Linked DNA regions of Nothobranchius furzeri. The protein of the gene in region 1 interacts with the protein of each later gene in a biochemical or structural test. Links are inferred from orthologs where the notes say so. Each region holds a gene or a part of one and is shown in the gene's direction. Other genes may lie near its edges.

What was found. The genes of interacting proteins can lie anywhere in the genome.
Region 2: the proteins of lrrk1 (region 1) and gpbp1l1 form a complex in vitro, tested with the Homo sapiens proteins (2 studies listed by BioGRID and IntAct, with this or other methods). The link is inferred for Nothobranchius furzeri from reciprocal best matches to the Homo sapiens genes LRRK1 and GPBP1L1.
Region 3: the proteins of lrrk1 (region 1) and outer dense fiber protein 2 form a complex in vitro, tested with the Homo sapiens proteins (2 studies listed by BioGRID and IntAct, with this or other methods). The link is inferred for Nothobranchius furzeri from reciprocal best matches to the Homo sapiens genes LRRK1 and ODF2.
Region 4: the proteins of lrrk1 (region 1) and tcf25 form a complex in vitro, tested with the Homo sapiens proteins (2 studies listed by BioGRID and IntAct, with this or other methods). The link is inferred for Nothobranchius furzeri from reciprocal best matches to the Homo sapiens genes LRRK1 and TCF25.

What each region holds. Positions count from the first base shown.
Region 1 is NC_091749.1:7,391,616-7,395,115, forward strand, and holds part of lrrk1 (leucine-rich repeat serine/threonine-protein kinase 1), read left to right. Parts: intron 1-655; coding exon 656-757; intron 758-3,500.
Region 2 is NC_091751.1:68,336,091-68,340,348, reverse strand, and holds the start of gpbp1l1 (vasculin-like protein 1), read left to right. Parts: upstream 1-1,458; 5' UTR 1,459-1,687; intron 1,688-3,215; 5' UTR 3,216-3,270; coding exon 3,271-3,330; intron 3,331-4,258. UniProt on the Homo sapiens protein: Possible transcription factor.
Region 3 is NC_091751.1:48,584,992-48,589,017, forward strand, and holds the start of outer dense fiber protein 2, read left to right. Parts: upstream 1-1,226; 5' UTR 1,227-1,307; intron 1,308-1,447; exon of another isoform or gene 1,448-1,466; intron 1,467-1,629; 5' UTR 1,630-1,637; coding exon 1,638-1,759; intron 1,760-1,847; coding exon 1,848-1,959; intron 1,960-2,045; coding exon 2,046-2,177; intron 2,178-2,290; coding exon 2,291-2,365; intron 2,366-2,484; coding exon 2,485-2,556; intron 2,557-2,634; coding exon 2,635-2,751; intron 2,752-2,829; coding exon 2,830-3,015; intron 3,016-3,087; coding exon 3,088-3,197; intron 3,198-3,302; coding exon 3,303-3,437; intron 3,438-3,583; coding exon 3,584-3,695; intron 3,696-3,910; coding exon 3,911-4,015; intron 4,016-4,026. Other genes in the region: ift22 (intraflagellar transport protein 22 homolog), read right to left, coding at 95-177, 857-895. UniProt on the Homo sapiens protein: Seems to be a major component of sperm tail outer dense fibers (ODF).
Region 4 is NC_091749.1:57,592,672-57,596,725, reverse strand, and holds the start of tcf25 (ribosome quality control complex subunit TCF25), read left to right. Parts: upstream 1-1,254; 5' UTR 1,255-1,386; coding exon 1,387-1,605; intron 1,606-3,065; coding exon 3,066-3,212; intron 3,213-3,497; coding exon 3,498-3,560; intron 3,561-3,761; coding exon 3,762-3,883; intron 3,884-4,054. UniProt on the Homo sapiens protein: Component of the ribosome quality control complex (RQC), a ribosome-associated complex that mediates ubiquitination and extraction of incompletely synthesized nascent chains for proteasomal degradation.

The sequences.
Region 1 (3,500 bases):
TTATGTAAGAATTACATCCTGTGGTCACATGTGGGTACTGCAGTTCATTTTTCTAAACACACAAGTCACTTTCTCACAGTTTTATGACTGTTGCTAGCTACGGATCAGCACCAGACCATTCTAGATGATGAGTGAAGAAGAGTCAGACACCATAATCTGATGAGTGGATAAGCACATTTCACTGTAATAACCAGGGTCTGGTAACTGAAAAAGGAGCTTGAGACATTTTTACAGACAACTATTTGCTTCTAGGTTAACTGTTAGCATTGTTAGCTCAATGTTAGCCTCTAGCTTTGATATTGTAGTAAAACAAAAATGCCATGGCTTGTTAGTGGAACAAGAACAAAATTCTGGGTCACTCCTGTTTACTGGCTTTTGGTCTTTATAAAGCAAGGCTGGTGAGTTTCAAACAAACGTCTCAACTTCATGTCCTCTACAAATAGATTTTAATTTGAAAACTTTGTCTTTGGGGGACCCATCTCTTATTTTACCTACTTGTTAAAAAGCTATATTTCTCCAAACTGAAAACCATCAGAAGCTCTGTACAAAGCGAAGCTCATAAATAAACAAATGCCCCTTCAGTAACTTGACTTTATGTTGTTCTGGGTTCAGAGTAAATGAAGTGTTCACTGTTGTTCTGTGTGATGATTGGTAGGCGTGGAGGAGATGTGATGATCATCAATATGCAGTCGCATCAAAACCAGTTGAAGGGGTGTGTCGCCGCTGTCCTCAGTCCACCTGGACTTTCCACTCTGGGGTAAGTTCAGCTGGTTCCCCTTCAGTCGATTCCCTCGGTACAACGAAGGTACTATGGGACATCACGCCCTCGAGTGGCCTGGCTGAAGACACATTTAATCACGCCTGTAAGGCAAATGAAAGTGACGCTACACGGAGGCCCCGCCCTCCACTTATAAGCGACCGCGTCACTGTCATTCCTCAGTCCTTACGCTCTTCACCTCATTGAGAACACATCTGACAGCTAGCTGCGCTATTGAAAGATAGCTTAACCGCTCGCTGACTGGACTCTACTGCCTTCTGGCTAGCATTCCCACCCACTGAGCGCTATCTTTCGTGGCTCTTCAGCTTCTCCTCTTCATTCTGCTGTGTGTCTCGCAATGAGCACCGTGTCGGACGTCGCTTTACGCCCCTGTCTTCAGGGCTGTGGATTCTCTCTTCACGAGAAGGACTTACACAAAGCGTGCCCAGTTTGTCTGGGAATTCTCCACCCCAGGACAGCGCTTGTGGACCTGGAGGCGTGTGAGTTCTGTCTCAGACTCCGCCGTCCCACACTTGAACGGCGCGTGAAGCTCCTACAACGTCTACTGGGAGACGCTGCAGTTTCGCAGCAGGACCCCATGCTTTCCCGTTTGGCCCCGGCTTCGCCCGGCTCTGACGTGGACAGCCTAGTGATCGAAGTACCCGCTACTAGCTGGGCAGATCAGATAGAGATGGCGGACAATTTAACCGGACCAGACCTAGACGCTTCTCAGTTTCCACCTCTGGCAGAGGATGGAGACATTTTGGACATTTGCCGCGACGGTCAGGACTTACTCGAGGACGAGGAGGTCCTCTCAGCGGTGGAGTATTCAGCTCCGGCCGCTACTTCAGCCAAAGAGCTCCGAGATGGCACTTCTTTTCTCCCGTTCTGTCGGCGTACAGCGGGAAGGCTAGAAGTGGACTGTCCCGCTCCTCCACCTGCACAAAAGAGGTCCTGCTTCTCTGGATTTTACCTCCCCTCGGAATCAGCGGAGGTAAAGAACTTTCTGCCACTGTACCCGGATTTTGTGGCTGAGCTCACAGCATGCTGGGCCAAGCCGCTATCAACCCCCAAACTACGGTCCCGGGTTACAGTCAGTTCTCAGACCTCGACAGCGGAGAAATGGCAGGATTGGTTAACCTCCCTCCGATGGAGCCCTCTTTCGCGGCTTACCTGGCTCCGACCTGCAATAATGGAGTTAATGGACAAACTAATCTACCTTCCAAGCCATGCTACTTCTCAGCTGCTTAACTGGAGAAGATTTACTGCGTGCAGGCCTCCACTGCCTGCGTTCTCAGCTCTTCCACCGTGCTCCAGACCTACCAAGCACTTTGCCTGGCGGGCCTTGGAGCTAGGGTCCCACCGACAGCCCACTGACCCCCCTCATCAGTGAGATACGGGTCATGTCGGACTACATCCTGCGAGTGGCCCGAGGCGTCGCCCTGCTGTTGGGAAGAGGTATGGCCTTAACTATAGTGGCTCAGAGACACCTGTGGCTGACCCTTTCTAAAGTCCCCGACAGGGACAGGGCTAACTACCTGGATGAGCCTGTTTCACCCTGTGGTCTGTTTGGTCAGTCCCTCAACGCATTTCAGACGAACTTCGAGGCCCAGCGGAAGCAGACTGAGGTGCTACGCTCCATCATCCCCAGGCGGGAAGGGTGGCGCATGGCATCTGGGTCACCCTTTAGCCGTTCAGTTCATGAAAGGGGTTCGCAGACTGAGACCCATTATTAGATCGTCTCGCTTTGGTGCTGGAGACCCGATGTGGTTCCCCATTTGAGCCTAATGAATCAATTCAATTCAAAGATACTTTATTAATCCCAGAGGGAAATTAGAGTTTCAGTACACACAATTCTGAGGTCAGACATACATACATAGGCATAGACACATGACAAGAATTGGTGACTGTCGTCATTTGCAACCCCGGTCGCTCTACCTTAATAGAGATCAGAGGGGTTTATATATGAGGATTGAGTCAGGTGGAGGAAAAAAATGCACTTCAGAGTTACCCTCCCCGGGGAGGACAGCTTTGCTATGCAAAAAACACCTCAAACAGAAATGCAACAGACTTCAGACATTACACAACATAAGTGTCCACTAGGTGGGGAGGTAGGGTTGGGGATTCTCTACACATCAGTGCATGCAGTCGCAATAAGCAGCGCTCGTCACCTCCGTTTGGAAAGGGGAGGGAGGTAGTTGGGTTTAGAAAGCACAGTGACACCTGGAAACGATTCAACGGCCTTCACTGGTCGCTGTCCCACCCAGGCTGAGATAGGAAGACAGAGTTGCCATGGCGATGGCAGCATTCCACATTTCTTCTGAGGGGGAGTTGTCACTTCAGCCTCACAGGCTCAAGTTCACCAGATTCAGATAAGAACTTGTTTTGGGGCCAGACAGAGATAATTTCCTCTCTGTCTTAAAGTTCTGTTGGTCTCCAACTCCTCTAAATCCAATAATGGCATAATTAATCTGTCCCAATCCATGCTGGACCGTCAACTTTCTCCTTGATCAAATCCACCTTCTGTGCCAGAGTCTGAATCTCAGCCAAAGTTCCAAGCTTACGACTCATCTGGACAATTATATGAGTTTGTGCATTCACAGCACGGTGTAATCCATCCCTGAGCTCCAGGATTAAGCCAGTATTCCTCGACAGCTCATTAATTTTCCGGTAAGCCAGGTAACCATTCAGGCCAAAACCCAAGAAACCTGACACCAACACCACGAATATCCAGACGTCTTCA
Region 2 (4,258 bases), on another chromosome or scaffold:
AAAACAATGTAAGTGAATTCACATAGATTGTTGTGTTTTTTTATGTAGGTGAATGCAAGCCTTCCCTTCCGTTGCTTTATGCTAAAACAGCTGGCTACAACAGGCTTTTTCTGACTTCGCTAACTCTGGAGAATCTAACAACACACACAAGTTTAGGGACAGAAGATCCCGATAAGAATATTAAAATAATAAAAATGCAGCAATAAATAAAACGTAACACTTGTGCTTTGTAACAAAGCAACACCCTGTGGAAGTTAACTTGGTGAACTTATTCACCCTGGACAGGAAATAATTGTACATAAGAAACATAAATAAGAATAAATAACTAAAAAGTTCCAAAACAATAATTTGTGTTCAAAGTTCAAAGGAGTGGAGCCACACAACATGAGTTCATAAAGCTGGCGCCATCTGCTGGATAGGTAGCGCAAAATCGGCCATATCGGCCGTCTTTTTGTCCGATAGCCGATACTGTTGATGACCCCAATATCGGCCGATATATCGGTCGGGCCCTAATTAGAATGCACAGTTAGTATTTGTATATCAAGTAAACGTGTTTTGTTTGTTTTTGTTTTTTGCAGATCCAGTCTTCTCTCGTGCACACATCAGTGAATAGTCAACACGACAAGTGAAACCTTTACTGAAACTTCCTGTGGAGACGTAAAGAACTATTTAAAGGACAGACATTTTACTCATTTTGGATGCATGCTGGTTTTCGATTTGAAATTTTTACCCCAAACCCAACTGCCACCAGAGTTTGTTTTGTTGTTTTTGGGCGAGTGTGGCAGATCCTAAACGAGGTTTCTGAGGGCTTTTTGACCCCTTATGTCTATGAAATCTGAGGTGACTTCTCTCTCTGCTCCGGTTACAAAATTGGCATTTATTAAATGGGAATCTTACAGATGTGATCGTGTAATTTACAAAGACAGAAATGTGGTTATGATGCACCAGACAGGAGCGTGTCCATTTCACTAACCTGAACTGAAAATCACAGCGATGTAACATCGGGCTTTATTTCCTTCCTTGTCATGTGACTTTGAACTTTTTGCTCGTTGTTCTTTTTGAACCCAGACTGTCTCTTCACCAGTTTAATGAGGTGAACTGTGGTTTTAGGTGACCTCTGCTGCCAGTAACAGACTGTCTAAGACTTCATTTTTCTTTTTTTGCATGCATTCAGCTAGATGTTAAAATGATTCGGTGAAAGGTAGAGCAGCTCTGAAGTGTACTGACACACGGTGGCAGGACAGCACCTGCCTCTTCCCGGTTCTGGTGTCAAAGTGGGCCTGTGCACAGTACAAGCAAATGCTTCCAGAACCCTGAAGGAATAAACCTGCCAGCAGAGAACGTTTTCCCGACCGGAGATCGAAGAGCTGCTGCGATCCGGGGTCAGACATTATAACCTGCTGCTTGTAGACCTCTGTGCTTCTACATCAAAGGTCTTCTTTAGTTCTGTGGGTCACCATTCAGATCATTCCAACAACTTTTTTGGACGTAAACCGTTTCACCCTGGACGAAGGCATCCGCCTCTGGAGAGAGGGCCTGCTCTGTCCTGGTGGAGGTGGAGTGGGGGGGTTTCTGTGTGCTGCTCCCCATCTGTTGGTGCACACTTCCTGTGATCTGTGCCAACGGGCCTGAGGAGCTGAGCCAGAGCGGGCGAGGAGGCAGAGGACTTCAGAGCCACAGACTCTGGGTAATTTCACCAACTCACACCCACACGGCTCGACCCCGGCGGTCCTGAAACGAACCGGGTCAACGGCCAACTTTTAAAAACTTAAAAACCATCAACACAAAGAGCTATAAATAATGCATGTATGCTGGAAAAGGTCTGTTCTGTAAAAGCCTTTGATTCTGTGCTTAAAGAGCAAGTCACCCCCTACCAGGGTCTTACTCCCCTCCCACTGCATGCTTGAAAAATGCAACAAACGTTGTTGCCTGGCAGACCGAGAGGGCGGAGCCGCTAACAGATACACATACACACAGGCTCACAACAGCATTGTGACATCATGCCATGCTGTAGTTCTTTTTTAAAACAGAGCAGTTTTGTTTACCTGTTTTCCCGCTACGTTTCGTTTGCGGCGGTTTTGTTTACCTGTTTTCCCGCTACGTTTCGTTTGCGGCGGTTTTGTTTACCTGTTTTCCCGCTACGTTTCGTTTGCGGCGGTTTTGTTTACCTGTTTTCCCGCTACGTTTCGTTAGTGGCGGTTTTGTTTACCTGTTTTCCCGCTACGTTTCGTTTGCGGCGGTTTTGTTTACCTGTTTTCCCGCTACGTTTCGTTTGCGGCGGTTTTGTTTACCTGTTTTCCCGCTACGTTTTGTTAGTGGCGGTTTTGTTTACCTGTTTTCCCGCTACGTTTCGTTAGCGACGGTCTTGTTTACCTGTTTTCCCGCTACGTTTCGTTAGCAGCGGTTTTGTTTACCTGTTTTCCCGCTACGTTTCATTTGCGGCGGTTTTGTTTACCTGTTTTCCCGCTACGTTTCATTTGCGGCGGTTTTGTTTACCTGTTTTCCTGCTACGTTTCGTTTGCGGCGGTTTTGTTTACCTGTTTTCCCGCTACGTTTTGTTAGTGGAGGTTTTGTTTACCTGTTTTCCCGCTACGTTTCGTTAGCGACGGTCTTGTTTACCTGTTTTCCCGCTACGTTTCGTTTGCAGCGGTCTTGTTTACCTGTTTTCCTGCTACGTTTCGTTAGCGGCGGTTTTGTTTACCTGTTTTCCCGCTACGTTTCATTTGCGGCGGTTTTGTTTACCTGTTTTCCCGCTACGTTTCGTTTGCGGCTGCTGTAAACAAAACCGCTCTGTGTTTTAAAAAAGAACTACAGCATGGAATTAGAGACACGACACAGCAAGAACACACCTAAGATGTTCAAAGAAAAATTGTGACATCATATGGTACCAACTAACGTCATAGTGGTACCTCTTAGCCAATAGCGGTGGCAGATTCAAATTCAAATGCAGTGCCTGACAACGGCACAACACCGACAGTTTTATGCAGAATATTTAAATTTGAACTAAGATGCGTTAAAGTGTCAAACTATCGACCGCTCGCGTCCACAGCACAATTAGACACTCGTTTATATAGTTTATCAGCAAAAAAAAAGTTGATTTGGGGGTGAATTGCTCTTTAAGCTTTATGCAGCTTCAGCACCTGGAGCTTGTTTCGTCGTGAAATTGAAATATTTGTAACTCCTGTTAAAACTGTAACATCTGGATTTAATTACAGATCCTGGCCATGAGGTTTGATGCCTCGATCCACTGACCGGAAACACTGGACCTAAATGGCGCAGCATGACTTTGTCCCTGCCTGGCTTAACTTCTCCACACCCCAGCCTGCCAAGGTACCGGGATGCTGCTGTGCTGATAGAACGATTGTAGTTTTTAGTGTGTGTGTGTGTGTGTGTGTGTGTGTGTGTGTGTGTGTGTGTGTGTGTGTGTGTGTGTGTGTGTGTGTGTGTGTGTGTGTGTGTGTGTGTGTGTGTGTGTGTGTGTGTGTGTGTGTGTGTGTGTGTGTGTGTGTGTGTTAGCCTCTCATCCCCCTCAGGAACCGACGTTGCGGTCAGTCTTTAGCCCCATTCCCACCTGTACCGGGTCGGCCCGGGCCGGGTAGCCCCAGTCGGCCCCAGCCTGGCCCGGTTGATTCCACACATCCTTGCCTTAAGCCCATGTGGGCTGATTCTACCCACCAATCAGAGGCTTGCTCTAATGGAAGGTGTGAATTTGCTGTCAGCAGTGGGCGTGTTGGCCCTGGTCGGCCTGAAGCAGTACCCCTCGGGAAGAGGGCCGAGAATGAGCCTTGGTTGGCCCGGGAAAATTCCAGGCCACCCAGATATGTAAACAACCTACGCTACCCGGCCCGGGCCGACCCGGTACAGGTGGGAATGGGGCTTTTGGTTCAGCAGACAGTCATGATGTTTGGTATCTAGCATCTGTCTGACGGTTCGAGTTCAGGTGGTGAACGTTCTCAGACAGCTACTGAGCGATGCTCGCCTCAGTGTTGGGTTATTTTGTGTATTATCATAAAATTTAGTTTTGGTTACCTAGTAGTGGTGTTGCCGTGCAAATTAGATTTGTACATGAACAGTTACGTCACTCAACTGGATTTTCGAACTGGTGAAACTCGGCTTGGTGTGTTTTTATAACTGGAGCAAATAAAAAATATCTTTGAGGGTTTGGGTTGTGTGATGTGGAAAGTGGTGGTTAACATCAGATCAGGTTTGCTGTAAGTGAGATTAAGGTTGGGCGATGGGACGAATGAATGGACCATCG
Region 3 (4,026 bases), on another chromosome or scaffold:
GAGCAAGTAGAAAGTGAATGTGATCATTTTAGTATAATATGTATATGAGGTAATAACATTGAATGAAAGGTAATGAAAGGAAAACAGCCTGTACCTGACTCCTTTAGTAGGTCGGTACTGTCCGCCCACGTTTTCTGTCATGTCTGAGAGAAAATTGGCAAGAACAGTTTTCCCACTCTGAAAAAAGGAATAGATCACTTTAAAGATATGTTTAGTTCTCACATTTTACAATATAAGCATGTTTATGAACTGACCAGTGGTGCTGAAAAGCATCTGAGTTTTATTTGTACTACATGTCCGGTGTGACATGAAAATGGAAATAGCTGAGGTACAATTAAAGTGTGCTCGAGTAACCAAATAAAATGTATTTAGTTGAATTCAAAAACATCCAATCTTTTTGTCTTTTCACAAATTACTTTTTACACATTAAAAACTTTCAAAAGGTCTTTATTCGTAAAATAGCATAGTTTTGATTTCATTAACCTAAGCATTGCGTTTTTCTTTTAAATGCTTCCATACACCGTCATAACAAGGTTATTAGACTGTCATAAATATATGAATTCGATATTAGCTGAAGTGCTACTGAGATAAACATAAAATAGTTTACACTAGAACTGGGGTAAAGGTGCTGGAAGGCTGGTATTATGCATGTTTTAGTTGTTTGCCTGTTTCAACACACCTGATTTCAACGAGTAGGTGATTCTGCAGAGCATGATGAGCTGTTGAACAGATAATTGAATCAGGTGTGTTGAAGCAGGGAATCAACTCAAACGTGTTGGACATCTCGAGGACCGAGATCACTAAAGAAGTTAACAATACATGCTCATCTATATACGTTTTACGTTCATTTACTTACCTCGGTAGGTCCAACAAAGAGTATTTTTACTTTGAACATTTCCGAAGCCGAGCATTAGCTATCACGCTAGCTTTAAGAACCCTAAGAAAATCAACGTTTCAGCGTGAATATAAATTGCTAAGTACGTCTTTAAAGAAACATGTGTGTGGTATTTTAAGTTAAAAGAATAAAAGTATACTAAACTAGCTTATTTACGTTTATGTTCTCCGACTACAAGACTTCCTTGTCGTTTCTATGGTTTCAACCAAGCTCCCCTTCTTTCTTCGTCCATTGGCTGTTTGAAATTAAAATCAAACGTAGTCCCGCCCCTCTTTGCCTCGAGGAGCCAATAAGTGATGGGAAAAACATGTAGCGTCATTACGTTACTTCGAAGATGGCCAATCGCGCTTGAGCGTCCCTGCTGCCTCCCCAGTTGAAGTGGTATTATTTACAACAGAAACAAAGCGAAAGTGTGAGTAATATTAGAATTTTCTAGAATATACGATTTAAAGTTGAAATGTACTAAGTTTAATTACATTAGTCACCACGTGGTTGTTAGTGACTTAGCTTATTCGGCAAATTAACACGCGTTAAACGACGGCTTAGTCAAACCTGTCCGTTGCTATGGAGTACAGCATGTTAGCTTGGGTGTCCGCTGGCTTCCTGGTTCAAGTCAAATTGGCTGTAAAGTGTAATAAAACGATCTTATAAGCATATGAGATAGAATTTCCATCAGGATATTTAGTGATTTAACACTTTGTTTTATTTTGTTTATTATGTTATGTTTTTGTTAGTGGGGGGTATGTCTCCAGAGGATGGTGATCCCCAGAGTTCCCCTTTTCCTGGATTCAGTTCCACCAGTGATGATCTCACTCTGAGGCGTGGTGACCTAGACAACAGTCATGAGCCACAAAAAGGAAACAGGTCACAGAGAAAACACACATGTTTATAAACATGTGCTCTGGAGCTAAAAGGCTTACAACATTTTCTCACATCCCTATTTTTCATTTAGCTTTGAAGAGAAGCACACCTTTCTGAAACTACTGATTGATGCAGAAGCTGCTGCCAACTCTGCAGGAATACAACTTGCTTCATTCAAAAATGCAATAGAAGATGAATTTACTGTATGATTAAGAGCAATTTTTACCTTCTTCTGTTTGGTTTGAGCATTTACCGTGTCTGTAAATAATCACATCTTCTTTCAATTCAGGATTTGGGACCGTCTTCCAAAGACAAGCGTGGAATCACAAGGCAGAGAGGACTTTTGCTGGAGAAGTTGGAGAATTTTAGACGAATAAATAAATCTGTGCGACAGGAGTTAAAACTACACCAAAATGCAGAGGTGGATTTTTAAATGTTGAATTTATGCAAAAAAAAATGACTTAAAATTTTTCTCTAAATATAAATTGTAATAAGTTTGACTTTACCTGCTTTAATAATGAATTCCTTATACAGGTTAATCGAATTACTGAAAAGAAACGGACAGACCTCTTATTAAAGAAGATAACACAAGCTGAAAGTGAAAATGAGGTGAATGTTTTATTATATCATATTCTATGATGGGAGAAGATATAATTAGTCAGGAGTTGAGTCAAACATGGATTGTGATGCTTGAATTATACCTTATTGCTCATGTTTTCTTTCGTGAGCGCTTACAAATCATTCTGAACAAGACTGAGCGGAGGATCGAGGAGCTAATGAATACAAGGAGAGACCAGCAGGTAAGCACATAAAACACTAGGTAATCAATAAAATATTGAAATTAATTTTATTAGAAAGCATTTGTTTTGCTCCCTCAGAAGAACATTAAAAGTGGAGTTCATAAGACCAAGTCGGCAGAAGTGACGCACGCTCGCCTGCAAGGGCAGCTGCGCAACAAGGACGCTGAGAACAGTCGCCTGACTGTCCAATTACGGGTAAGAACCCTTTCATTAAAGCTGACCCTCTGGAAGCTTTATTTAATGTAGAATAACATTATTGTTGTTGTTTTTTAGACTCTGGAGAGAACTCTAACTGAGCAAAAGATGGAGATCAATGAGCTGAAAGCGTCCATTGCCTCTATGACCAGGAAAGCTGCACAAGACAAAGAATCGCTCAAGAAAGCGACGCGGGCACAAAAACTTAGGACGGAGAGGTTTGAAGCTGCGATTGACAAATGTCGTGCACAGCTGAAGGAAAAGGTATGAGTTCAACATCACAAAATATGAGTTGTAAAGACTCGAGTGTGACATTCGATTTTGTTTTAACGTCAGGATGCAGAGTTGGCTGAAGCACATTTACAAAGAGACTCCAAAAGACGGCAGAAAAAGCAGGCGACAGACGAGAAACAAAAACTTCTCGCTCACATAGACGTCCTGAAAAGGTTTGTTGGTTATTTATCAACCCAAATCATGCAAACTAGTCATCAGTATGCAGCTGGGTTGGCTCAGAGTCCCTACTGATGGACTGGATTTGTTCTGTATCAAAGTCAAGTTGCAGACTTGACTTTGAGGTTGCAGAAAAAGAAAGATGAGCTCTCTGCAGCTCATGAGATGAAGATGCAAAAGTCTGAAAAAATCCTCGCTGAAAACGGAGAACTGACTGTTCGAAATGCAGCGCTCAAGGTAGGAGATGTTTCAGAGCACACAAAGGCTGCTACATGCTTTTATATGAAACCACACGCTGCTGCTTAATCATACTGAGGGCTGAACAGATCCTTCTCGTTTTTTATTATCCTACGATTTAAACGTTGGTTTCTTTCTGATTGCGGGCATCCGTGGCTCGGCTGGAGCACCAGCTCACTGATTGTGAGTCGGCACTCGTCGAGGAGAAAATCATCTCCCAAGAGAAGAAACATCAAGCTGAACGGTGCCAGCTTCAGGTTCGTTTCTAGTTTTAGAAAATAATTTAGATAAAAATGCTCTTCAAATTGAATTAATGACATTTTTTCAGATATATTGTCTAAAACTGGGCATTTTCATTCTCAATTAGCTGTTCAATAACAGTTAAAGAGAATCTCTGAATATTTTAGAACATGGAAAGTTTGAAAACTTTAAACTGTTTTTAATCACCGGTCATTTCTTTTTTTTTCTTTAGATTGCTGAACTACAAGCTGAGATCGATGGCCTTAGAATAAAATATGCAAATCTTTTACAAGACACAGAAAAGACACGGGAAGGAAAACATACAGCGGTGGAGAAGGTGGAAGTTTA
Region 4 (4,054 bases), about 50 Mb from region 1:
ATTATTTTCCCCTTTTTGAAATTGTTAAAGAAGCGACATTTGCAACTTCCCCCTTTGGCAAAAACAGTATTTCAGTAACTCAGAATTTCCCTTTCTCCTCTCGGGCCTGTTTTCTTCTCCTTGGCTTTGTTTTCATAAGTTTCCTTTGAGGGAAAAAATGTATGTATTTATATGTCTTCAAGTCAAACAGGTTCAGCAGCTCAATCTCCATTTCTTGAGTCTTAAAGTTATTTGTTTCTGGGTTTTGTAGTCACAGCTGATTAGTCAAGCAATTACAGCCTGTTGGGAAATAACAGGTGCTTCCTTAATCAACCTGGGGTGGTATGAGACCTAGCACTAAAATACAAGAATTGTAAGTAGTTTGCAACACGTATAACATTTTATACAGTCTGAGTTCATTTTCCTGTGTTTTCCCCAACTGTTATTCTAAGCACAAGGAACTAGTCACATACAATATTTTGATGACAGTTGGTGAGCAGGAAGTGTTGTGTAAGACTGTTAAAGTAAAAGTTTGGTGGAACAAAGTAGTTTATAAAGTAGATTTCATTCAGAATAAATCTGTCCACAAACACAAGACAATATGACTTATTTCTTATATCAGTCATTCAAACGTATGCATGTTTTAAAAGCTATTTTATCAGAATGTTTGTAGGCAAACATATCTATACTACATGTTCCAAACACAGTTTTGGTCTTTAACTGAAAGCATGTCCTTATGGTTTTGCCTGTTTTGTAATTGGCATATGTTGTTTTGATGATTTGGCATCACTTCTTTTATTTACATGGTCTTTGTTTATGTGTTATGTTTACATTTTTAGTTTATAATTTGATTGTCTTCAATATTTGACCATAGTTACCTTAAAATGCATGTACTGAACAAGCATTATAGTTTTCATCATGGTGGTGTGCATATTCATATTCATATATGAACATGCACACTATATATATATATATATATATATATATATATATATATATATATATATATATATATAATCTGTTTATTAAAAGGTATTTGTGTTTCTCTGTCTGTCTAAAATAGCAAAATAAAGTATAGAATAGAAAAATGTGGAATATTTCACATTTGTGCACGAGAGTTTTCCCATTTTATTGGTAATATAAAAAACAAAGAAGAATACCCACTAATTACAAAATCGGAGTCAACAGCTGCAGCATACCATTTATTTTGGTACTATTTATTTTAGCCTTCAGGGGGCAGTGTAGAAGGTCTAGGAGGTAATTTTTCAAAAGAAGAAGAAACAACAGTACACGAAGAAGAAAATTCAGACATTTTTTCTATAATCTCATTCAGTGTTGGCTTTCAGTCACCAAAGGTACGATTTTAATCAAACTACTGAATTTAGGGTGAGTTTTAAACAGTTCAGAATGTCAACCCGGGCTCTGCGGAGGCTCAGAGGGAAGCAGCGGGGTCAGGAGGCCTTGGACCTGGGGGATCTGGGAGAGAGCCCGGAGGAGCAGGCTGAAGTCGAAACCGAGGAAGTGCCACACGAGTCGGCTAATGTTTCCACTTCTAACATTAATAACAACAGTCGAAAAGCGAAGAAAAACAAGGTTCAGAAAAACACAAGTAACATCTTTGAGCTGGTAAGATAGTGATATTTCAGAAACTGTCCATAACAGTGACGGGTGCTTTTCTCCTGTTTACATCAGCTCTGTGTAGCTTGTTTACTCAGATGCTAGCTGTAAGTTGTTGGCTGGTTAGCTAACCAAGTGAAAACCACTGACAGCGTTGTCCTACAAGAAACTCCAGAATCAGAGACATTCTAGCTTTTTAAGTTATAAAGTTGTCTCAGAATTAAAGGGGCCATATCATGGAAAATCCACTTTTGGAGCTTTTTACCATGTGGTATTATTTTCTCATAAAAAATATAACAAGAAATAAAATACACACACATTTTTGGCGGCATTCATGCATTTTCCTGATTCAGCTGCAAATTTTGAGTTTTACCTTGAAAATCTTGTTAGATAACCTCGTCATAAGGCCCTGCTCCTCTCCAGGAAGTTTAGTCTCTGGTCTGAAACCTGTCTCCCCCTGGCCAGCACAGGATATGTGTCTAGCTGCTGGTGTCATCTAACAGATTTGGCAGTCCAGTGGTTAGAGTGCTGGGCTGGACGCGTTAACCTCTGCAGTTGTAGGCACATTCTGTCAGAGTGGGTGTTGGCAAAGTTTCACTGAAAGAGGAGTTTTATTTCTGGGTATAAATTCAGTCTGATGGGTGGAAAAAAACCTCGTATTTAAAATAAATGACATCCAATGGTAATTTTTAATCATACGCTGTGCCTACTTTTGCTCTCAGATGTTTAAAATAGCCTCATATGGAACCTTTAAAACCACATTTTTCTAAAATAATTTACCCACTTTTCTTAGGAGCTATTAAGTTAAATGGATGATTACAGTTGTAACACAACACAAAAAACAGTTTACAGACACATTTAATTATACCCAGTGAATTAGAAACAGGAACAACTCTTTATTCACATATTTACACAGTTTGCACAGCTGTTAATTCAACCTTATTTTCCAGTTCTCAGTTAGAAAAAATTACTCTTATTCCCATATTATCACTTTATTGAGCCTGAATTTTCATAATAGTTCCTTCATGTTTTTTCCTCTGACAGACATCATTAGAAAGTTCTGCAGAGGTATAGGGTTAATAACAGAGTATAGGGTTAATAACAGAATGCTTATTTTCAATGACAAAATTCTACACAAGTGGAGCTTTTTCTGAATATTTCCTGATCTGTGTTTTCATTACTGAATGTTATGCTTTTTTAAATTTTGTAGAATAATTTAGTAAAGATAAATTTTATATCTAATGTTCTAAGGCTTATATGAAGTTATATTTCCATTTTATTTACTGTTTTTATTGCATGTCAGTCTTCTTTTTTACATGCTGGTAACATATGCAAAACGTTTTATTTAAAAAGGGAAAATATTATTTTAAGATACAAATCAGAATGAGATAATTTCTATTGTGATGTTACACTTGTTTATTACTTCAGTCACCTCTTTACCCTGTAAACTTTTTTTTTTAATTAACTAGATATGTGACGCTGATGAGGTGGAGAAAATCCCACCTGATGACGAGGCAGAAAAACCAGGAAGAGCAGAAAAAAGCGAGAAAGCAAAGAGTGACAACAACAGAGGAATTGAGAGGCTAGCTCAAAGCCAAGAGGGAGTATCCGCTAAGGTAAAGACGTAACAAAAGGAATGATAAATGGCCCGTTTTGCAATAGCTCCTTCTAGTGTCCTAGGACCCCCCCCCCCCCAGGCACTTTACAACACAATCAGTCATTCACCCATGCATGCACACATTCACACCCTGGTGGTGATGAGCTACAATGTATCCACAGCTGCCCTGGAGCTCACTGACAGAGGCGAGGCTGCGAGCACCTCTGGTCCACCTCCGAATGTCTGCATACCTTATCACCTTCCAGACTGACTAAAACAGTTCTGTCTCGGTTCTCTTTAACAGTCTGGTGACAGAGGTAAAAAGAAGAAGAAAAAGAAGAAAAAAGTGACATCAGAAGATGGAAAAGTACAGTTTTTTATCTCACTCGACAAGACAGCTGCATTATTTTTACTTAGACCTACTCTGTGTTGTTAATATTTGTTACCAATTATTATTGCTGTAATCTATAACACCATCTTACATAAATTAATCAGTATTTTACTAAACCTCATGTTTCTATTGGAGAAAAACAGCAGTAGAATTGTTTTTTTTGTTTGTTTTTTTTAGAGAATTGAACCTGATAATATTGATTTATTGCTGGAGAACCTGGAGCAGTCCAATGGTCTGAGTCTACAAAGTGATGAAAATGGAGGCTGCAACAAAAAATCTGTCATACTCGTGGAACACAGGTAATGGTGTCTTTGAAGCTTCAGTCTTTATGTAAACTTGCTTATAAATATGGCGCGGTATGGGGGCCAAAATTAAGACTACTGCCCAGCAGCAGGAGGCTATATAAATTCCGAAGCAAACTACTGATCTGATAAATGATAAGCTGGCACCGGTGACTGAGAGGCTGGCAC